2 linked regions of the Tribolium castaneum genome follow. The protein of the gene in region 2 purifies or fractionates together with the protein of the main gene of each other region. This does not show direct contact. Links are inferred from orthologs where the notes say so. Each region holds a gene or a part of one and is shown on either strand. Other genes may lie near its edges.

Region 1 (4,465 bases), on a different chromosome or scaffold from region 2:
GTGGAAATAAAAATCAATTTTTTTCCGAAGATTTTATTAGATTCTCAAATACACCCCGATTCCGTAACAGTAAAACCTCTACTGTTAGGAACCTTATCCAGCGCACAAAACCACAATTCTCGCCCACTTCGATGGGCCAAAACGTGTTTGGTTATATACAAAAGTCACTCTAGATTATATACACACTTCCAGACAAAGAAATTTGTAAGAAATGGATTTTGAAGTTGCGTCAATTGAAAGCAACCGATACAACAGTGAAGAAAAACCGAAACAGTTTCTTCAAGTACTTCCTCCAAGTCCTCCACAAGGCAGTCCAAGGTGAAGATTATCTCGGCCCTTCTCCACTCGACACTAAAGTAACAAATCGTCTTAACTGAAACAAAAAACTGATTTGTAATTTAAGGCTGACGAGAGCCGAGGCCGCGATTTCATGTGCCGCTGGTCGAGCGATAAGCGGACTTACGTGGCGGCTAAGCCCCTCCCAGGCGAGGGCACTCTGGTCTACATGGCCGTGTCGAAAGACCCGAGTCTTGGATGGGAAAAACAGGGAGAAACAATCTATGTTTAAACTCACCTCTAAGTAAAAATATACAATTGGAACAAAACTAGCGCCGCTTCCGGCCCCCGGCGGCTTTGCCCTTTCGGGGCCGGTTCGTGTTTTTCGGCTTCTTGCCGCCTCCAGACTTTCGCAGGCCTTTCTTGCGCCCAGTTCGGTTTTTCTCATCAGATCTCCTGGGAAAAAAAATATATGAATTTTTTGGACCACCGACTGAGTAAAACACTCACTGCGCTTGTTCGTCGTTTATTTGTCGGGCTACCGCTTTTTCAATATTTATCTTCGGTCGTTTGTTCAAAACCTCGTCTACGAGATTTAGGTTTTGGTTTTTCTCGTTTTGACCCGAAATTGGAGGTAATTTTCGTTTTCTCGTCGCTCCGGGAGTGATAGCAGCGACGCCTCTCGCCTCCTTCTCCTTGGGGAGCTTGTCTTGGAATTTTCCCAGACTTGCGGTTGACGATTTAGCCACTGTTACCGCCGCTTGCAACTAAAAATCAAACATTTTGATTTCGAAAACAAAAAGTTAATACTTTTTATGTTAAAGGTTTTAACAAAATTCCAAATTTTTTATTCGTATTTAACAAATAAAAACTAAATTGTTACTATAGACAGCTCACAATCAAAGGCAGATAACATTACATCCGGAATTCCCACAAGGCTCAATTTTGGGACCATTTCTATTTTTAATATACAGCTCAGAAATATCAGAATTCGTAAATTATGTAATTATTCAGATCATATGCAGGCATCCATTTAAATATTATAAAAACTATTCATCAAAACTTAATGAAATTTGGTATATGTTCGAAATTATGTAAATTCTATCGTCTCAGATGTGTATCAAAGTTCTGTCGTCATTTGTTCTGGGGAAACAAGGCTAACTTGATTTTTTTAATGCCAATATTATATTATTCTATTATTTTTTTGTTGTTTCTTTTGTTTGTTTTTTTCCATAAAAGTTTAATTTTTGGTTTTATACAAGTGAAAAATCGCTCATAACAGTATTTTAAAAGCTAGCTTAGTTTTACTTTTCCGGAAATCCAGAATTAAATTTTTGAATTTTTATTTTTTTTACCTTTTTAAGGTTCAGAAAAAAATTTGACAAAAACTCCGCCAATCTTTTTTGATGCTTTCCAACTTTAACTATGGCCTTATTATTTGTCACTCATGTTTAGATCTATAGTTTTTTCCAAAATTGTTTTTGCTTTTTGTTATTTTCTTCTTGCTTTATTTGCTATTATTTTTTTAGAGCAATTTTTGTCAATTTAATTTATTCATTTATTCATTTACTTCTTCGTTTCTTAAGGGAATTAAGTTCAATTTCGCCTCCCGAGTTGTATTTACGGTTCGAATAAAGACGGCTTATTGTTATATCATTATTATTAAAAAAGAAGCAACTACTTTAAACGTTTAATAAAACAACACAAATTCACGTATTTTTCAACTTGGTGCAACACTTAAATTTCCGGCCGTACACACGATAAAAATACAAAAACTCACGTCTTTTGCGGACGAAACCTCAGGGTTGGTGAGCCCGAACCTGGGCACTTTCACATTTTTCGCTTTGGCGACGTTGCGCAGCCTTTGCAGTTCATTCTTGGCGACTTTTTCGCTCTTAGCCTCGACTTTCTTGGCGAACTGGTCTTCCAAAGGGTCCGCATTTTGTGGCACTTCAATCAGCCAGTCCTTCTCCTTGAGGGCGGCGCTCCGTTTGAAACCATACAGCGGGATCCACTTTTGCAGCTGCTCGTCCCAAGACAACTTACTCTTCTTTTTCTTGACTATGCCCTTGGCTTTGGCGAACTGCTCCCACTTGGTCAGCGGCCTGGGCCTCGGCACGGGCTTGAAGCGCGGTAAACAAAACTTCTGCTTGGGCAACTTCGCGACAATTGCTTCGTCTATCCGCTCCGTGGGCAACTCCCAGATTTGGTTAAACAGCAACTGGGTGTTATCCCGAGTCAAATTCAGTAAATAATCGTTGGTGGAGCTCCTAAAATTGGGTCAGAAAAGCGTGCTCAGCGGACCCCAAAACTCACCTCAACGCGCCGGGATCGAGCGGGTTCAGGTCTTCGGCCAGCAAGGCGCCTAAATCGATGCTCACCAACTTGTTAACTTCCACTGATTTGTATTTCTCGGCCTCTTTGGCCGATTTTTCCAAAATTGTTTTAACAACATCCATGTTGTTAAAACCTGTCTGGGGATTCTAACCTCACTTGCGACAAAACGGTTACACGTGGAGCGAAAATCCCCAGATTCGGCTGGCGAACTGACACCTGTCGCTGACAAATGTCAACCAATTTCAAAATATTTTGCCAAAATCTGGGCGTTTCTTTGTAAAAATGTGATCGTGGTGGTGCTGAGTCATGCCACTCGCCGAACCTTTGCTTTTTCTGCTCAAGCTGGGCTACACCCTGCGTCTCAAGGTGCCCCTCTTTATCCTGTTTCTGTGCTTTTTGCTGGATATAAGGATGCAACTCAACGTCACAGTCCAGAGGATTGAGATCCCGAGGAACGCGGTCCCGGACCCAGACGAAGACATTTAATGTAAAAGAAATATTTTATTCATCAGACTCAATACACTAATAAAAATCAATTAAAAAACACTTTGCTGTAAATGCAAATGTAAATGGAATATCTCGCTACAATAATTTAACAAGGAATTAAAACAACGTACAAATTTGGCAGTTTAAATGCTGGTGTTTGTCCTCATTCGTAACAAAAGAAACACACTTCTAGAATTCCATCTGAAACCGCCACTTGATTAGAACGGGAAAAACCGCAACAAACAACTCACTTATACAGTTAATTACAGCTAGAGCTTTCGATTGTGACCTCTTGCAGGATTTCTGCAAGAGGCCGACTCTGGCCTTCCCTCGACGGCTGCAGACTCGCACACCCATGGCTCGTACTCAGCGAATTCTGGGGAATTACAAGCTGTCAGATTGGCCCAACCAACTGTGGGACCCTAACTAAGTCGTGCAACTATTTGCCCAACTGGGCATTTATTTATAAAACGTAATAAATGTTTAATTGCTTTCAATAAATGCCCAGTTTCTTCTAAAATCCCAACTACACAGACATACAGACGGCCGACTCCTTAGAAAAAAATATCCACTTTCCCACACCTGTCCACCGTTCTCCAATTTTTTCAAAAGGGCACACGTTTCGACACAAGAATTAAAATTCGCGCCATCTGGACGGAAATTAACTCAACCGAGCTTTTTAAGTTGGCCATCTGTGACTAGAAACCCCTAACACGAAATTAGTACTCCTATGTCCTACCTATTAGTAATTTTAATCTATTACGTGTCTATCTGCTATGACTAAAATCCTGCGGGAATTAGAACTAGACGATAGAAAAAAATTCATATGCCATTAGTGTAGACACACAAACAACACCACGTCCCGACTTACTGCGACATTGTGAACAAACGCTTTGCAGTGTTGCCAGTACGAAATGTCTCGCCTTGGTAGGTAGTACCACCCAAACAAAAAAAATTGAAACAAAAACTCAACCCCCACACTTAACTAACGCAATGAAATTACCTTGTGTAGCGTACTCTGCGGCGCCACTTTTAAGTGCACTTTTTCGGCGCATAACGCCTTCAATAAGTTAATCCCTTCCTGCCTGTTCCTCTCAAATCGGCACTCCCACGCATCAAACAGCCGATTATAATACCGAACTTCCATGAAATTCAAATACTTGTGCGTCTGCGAGGTGGGGAAAATCCTCTCGAAACGCCCCTTAACACACCACTCGTCTTCGGCTTGCGTCAACTTTCGCACATCATCGCCAGTCAATTCGGCCAAAATATCGTCGAGGTAGTCGTGTCGTGACTCATACTGTTCGAAAAGTGTGTGCTTTTCCCGCTCTTTTTTCGTGAGCGAAGTTGTGTACAATTTGGGGTC
Region 2 (4,354 bases):
TCCAACTTCTTCAACGCCCTCTTCTTCTTCCTTGCCTTGGCTTCGATCACTTTTTTAATCGGACGCACATTCAACTCCTCCAAATGCTTCTTGTAATCTTGAACCAACTCTTTGGGAACCGCAGCTTCTTTCCTCATATGTTTCTCCTCATCTTTGACAAACCAATCAGGCAAGTTGTCATCATTAAAAGCGTAACGATTCCAAGCGGCGTCAATTATGTCACGTTTTGTTTTTTTGCTGTTGATCATTAGCGTACCCAACGCCAATTCTTTCTCAGTTAATTTATGTTTACGTTTCTTGCCTACTTTTTGCCCCTCGGGGACAATCTCAAAACCGTCCTTCTTTACGTTATTTTTAGGGGCAAGTTTCTCAAAATCCTCGTATTCGGAATCATCTGAATCCGAACTGTAGTCACTATCCGACTCTGTGTTTTTCGCATCTTCTTCCTCTCCGATAATCTTGGCTCCTTTCTTCTTCATTTCACTCACCAGTCGGTCCAAATCAGCGTCTTCGTCTTTCTCGTCTATTAGATTCTTAAAAGCGTCTCTTTCAAACCACATTTCGGCTTTGTGCACTTTTTTCTCTTCCTTACTTCTGTGGTCCAAGTCCGTTATGAGAGGATGTTTTGGTTTCGTTTTCGATTTAGTTTTCTGTTCTTCCACATCGCTATTTTCGCTATCGCTTAAATCTAGACCTTCCTTAATTTTCCCATCTTCGTCCTCAGACTCGCTTTCCATTTCCAACTCAGAATCTGAATCTTTATAATACAATCCTGAACTACTCAAATGTTGCTCGTCCTTGTTATAACGCAAATATTTTGATTTGATTTCATCTTCTTCATTGTCTGATTGAGCAAGAGTATCAGGCGTTTGATCAATAATTTTCTTCATCTGTTTGGTGCTTGTTACTTGTTTTAGTTCAAACATGCCGTCACTTTCCATTGTGGGGCCACTATCACCTTTCAAGACCATCTTCAAGTTTAATTTTTCGTTCAGCTTTTTGCGCTCCTTTTGAGCTTTTTTCTTTTTTCGCTTCAATTCGCGCTGCTCTTCACTCTACAAATTATATTTTAATTAGTCACAAATTTTGTTAAATAGTGTGTTACTTCAAGTTCCAATATTTGTTGGTGGACGTCCTTCAAATCATCCTCGTCGTCACTTTTCTCCACAGTTTCTTCAACCTCTTCTTCAACAGGTTCATTTTTCTTCTCAGAAAACTCTTCACTCAATGCCTTCTTCCAAGCCAAGAGCTTCTTCAAATCTTTCCTTCCCAAAACTTTAATATCCTTGCAACATTCTTTAATTTCGTTTGTAGTTTTTTCGTGATTTGTTATTTCTTCAACGTCAAAAACGATCTACAAAAAAATCATAAAAGCAACCAAATTATGTTGATCCTCTAGTTGATCCTATGTTTTCAAAATTGAGTACTTCCCCGAATATTAACGACAATTAGCATTTTTCATTAGCCAAGAATACGGAGGACTAAACTTAGGGGATGAAATGGGGTACAAAATCGCAGGATTTTCTGAACCCAAAGAAACAGTACGGCAGAGAAAAAATGAGGGCGCTTTAAAGTAGTTTCACAAAAAGAACTTTTGTGCAACTCCATTTAGTAAATTTTTAGGAGTTGTATTGGCAGTGCTGGGCTGTGAGTCATCACTGTAAAGCCCGAATAATTAACAAAATTAAGAGGAAATAGTTTGAACAGATTTTGATAAATTAAATTAAACAAAAACAAATAACAAAAATAGAAAGTACAAAAAATAGTATATTAAGTGTAATATACGTAATAAAACGAGTGCGTTTTATAAGACTTAATTGTGACACTCATTCTATTGGAGTACTCCTTTGTTGTGCTCCAAAACGATTCGTGCTACAATAAAACGTCTTATAAAACTTGCATAATAATATACTATTATTGCGAGATTTCAATAATGCAGAAGCGCAATTATTTCTCAAAATCTCTTTAAGAAAAAGTCACAAATTTACCAAATTATACTTTTCCCGAGTGTTTAATCACATCTATGGACTAAAAGTGAAGTTTTTTTGGGCGTTTTTACCTCAGAAGCCCCTTCTAGGAGTTCGATCCCTGTAGGGTGTTTAATAAAATCTGATGCTTTAATCTTATGATACAAAGTCCAATCATTCTCGGGGTACCCCTCAGCTTTACTCTTCTTATTTTTCTCAGGATGGTAAATATTCAATTTCTCTTTAGGCTCAATTTCCAACTCCTCAAAAACATATTTCGGGTCCATAAACTTGGAGTCGATTTTATCAGGTGCGATGTAGTGTTGACAAACGACGAAAATTTCCGCCGATTCATTACGCGAAGCTTGTGGTTTGGTGGCATGCACTTTTTTAAAAAACTGCTTCAAAACCCAAATCAGCGAATGGTAATCCTTCGAACGAAACACTTTGGTTATAAACCAGCCCCCTTTCTTCAAAAACTCACTGGCCAGTTTCAAAGAGCTCAACGTCAGGCATGCCTGCTGATAGGCATCATGCAGCCAATTCTTGCCCACATTTGGGGCGCCATCGTGCAAAACAACGTCGGCTTTCCACGTCTGCAGCTCTTTCTTGAGCGAGACGCGGCATTTCTCGGTCGTAATGTCCTCAGTCAGCGAAATGCACCCAGGAATGGGCTTAATTGGGAACAAGTCAATCCCAATGATGACGCTCGAAACGGGCATGTTCTGCTTGGCCACCTGCATCCAGCCCCCGGGGGCGGCGCACAGGTCGATGCATACTCGCGACTTCTGCAAAAACTCGAACTTGCGGTTGAGTTGAATCAATTTGAAGGCTGCACGAGACCTAAAACCTGAAGGCGAAAGTGAGGTTATGGTGCCAAGTTTTGGGAAAACGTACCGGTTTCTTTGGCCAATTGATAGTACTTATCCTTGCGCTGTTTCCCAATTTTAGTTTTCTTTCCCATGTTGGCGCTTTTTTAATTCTGGAAAGCGAAAAAACTAATTTGTTTTCAGCAAACACACATGGCTTTTGACTTTTGACAGAATGTCATTCGGAATTTGTTGTCCTTGTCGGGCAAACGAAACACACATATGACTATCCTTTTTGCGTTATCAAAAAGCAATGCTACCAACTCACATGTTTTAATTTGCGGTTTTTTGGCATTTTTTCAAAATTTTTATCCAGTTGTTATTATTAAATGTTTCGCTGATAAAAGGGGAAAAATAGTTTTATCAACCAATACAAATTGCACTGCATGGCGTGTCATTTTGACCCATTTGTTTAATTTTGTTTTATACATAAGAAAAGCAAAGTATGGGTTGTTAGTGCATAATAGAGTTTTGTGAAATTGGAACTGCATTATCAAAATTTCCATTTATTAGCGGCCTCTAAATGTTTGCGTCACGTGACCCCTCCTTGTGCGTCAGCCAATGGGAGGCGTTCGCGATGGTCCGAGTTTAACTAGCGGCTAGGCCCCGCCGGTCTACAAATGTTCGCTCAGTCGAAATGTTGCGAGCGAGGTCGGAACAGTACGAACAGACCATAACGGATTTCCATTTCAGCTGGGCTGGTTAAGTCTAAAGAGTTTTCTGAGTATTTCAAAAATAATTACATTAACAATCGGCATTGATGGGCATATTGGAATAGTGGTTTTTATGGAAATATGTTGCGCGTGGCTGGGGCTTCGCCCCAGTTAACTAAAAGGAAACAAACCCCACGACCAATTAAACTCGAAAACGTGGAACTCGAAACGTGGAATAGTGTTTTTTTATGGAGCTAGGGTGGCGTACAGTTCATAAACATAAACACTATTCCACGTTTCGAGTTCCACGTTTTCGAGTTTAATTGGTCGTGGGGTTTGTTTCCTTTTAGTTAACTGGGGCGAAGCCCCAGCCACGCGCAACATATTTCCATAAAAACCACTATTCCAATATGCCCAGGGTGGTGAAACCTAAATGCACCAAGCCAAGTATAGGCGCCAAATTCAAAATCGACTGTAGTTCGGCTTGCTATCGCAGATGTCGCACACACGTATAGTCAATTTTAGCGAAGCTACCTATAATATCGGCAGAAATTAACAGTGGACCTGTGACAGTTGCCATTGTGTAAATCGCCATTTTGTGCTTGGTTTGTTTGGTGTTCGCCTTCGGCTTTGTTTTATGTGAAATTAGTACTGTTTTGTGGTTTTTTTCGTGTGTGTGCTTTTTTGAACTTTTTTATTGTGGGAATATAAATAATTTGATGGATCAATCATTAGTTTATAGTTATCGTATCGTGTATATTGACTAGTGATAATAAATTTTTATTACAAGTTTATTGTCTTTATGTATTCTCATATTTTATTTTTCGTATTCTTTGTAAATATTCAGCAACAATAGTTGTCTAAC

What was found.
Region 1: the proteins of pre-rRNA 2'-O-ribose RNA methyltransferase FTSJ3 (region 2) and ribosome biogenesis regulatory protein homolog purify together in Homo sapiens (affinity purification with mass spectrometry; 3 studies listed by BioGRID and IntAct, counting the BioPlex papers as one, with this or other methods). This does not show direct contact. The link is inferred for Tribolium castaneum from reciprocal best matches to the Homo sapiens genes FTSJ3 and RRS1.

The regions. Positions count from the first base shown.
Region 1 is NC_087399.1:2,010,094-2,014,558, reverse strand, and holds ribosome biogenesis regulatory protein homolog, read right to left. Parts: upstream 2,962-4,465; 5' UTR 2,736-2,961; coding exon 2,593-2,735; intron 2,547-2,592; coding exon 2,057-2,546; intron 1,044-2,056; coding exon 787-1,043; intron 733-786; coding exon 606-732; 3' UTR 591-605; downstream 1-590. Other genes in the region: uncharacterized protein LOC103314109, read left to right, coding at 193-356, 404-568; tubulin monoglutamylase TTLL4, read right to left, coding at 3,369-3,475, 3,971-4,022, 4,103-4,465. UniProt on the Homo sapiens protein: Involved in ribosomal large subunit assembly. May regulate the localization of the 5S RNP/5S ribonucleoprotein particle to the nucleolus.
Region 2 is NC_087395.1:17,626,656-17,631,009, forward strand, and holds the start of pre-rRNA 2'-O-ribose RNA methyltransferase FTSJ3, read right to left. Parts: upstream 3,088-4,354; 5' UTR 2,932-3,087; coding exon 2,865-2,931; intron 2,818-2,864; coding exon 2,060-2,817; intron 1,355-2,059; coding exon 1,106-1,354; intron 1,056-1,105; coding exon 1-1,055.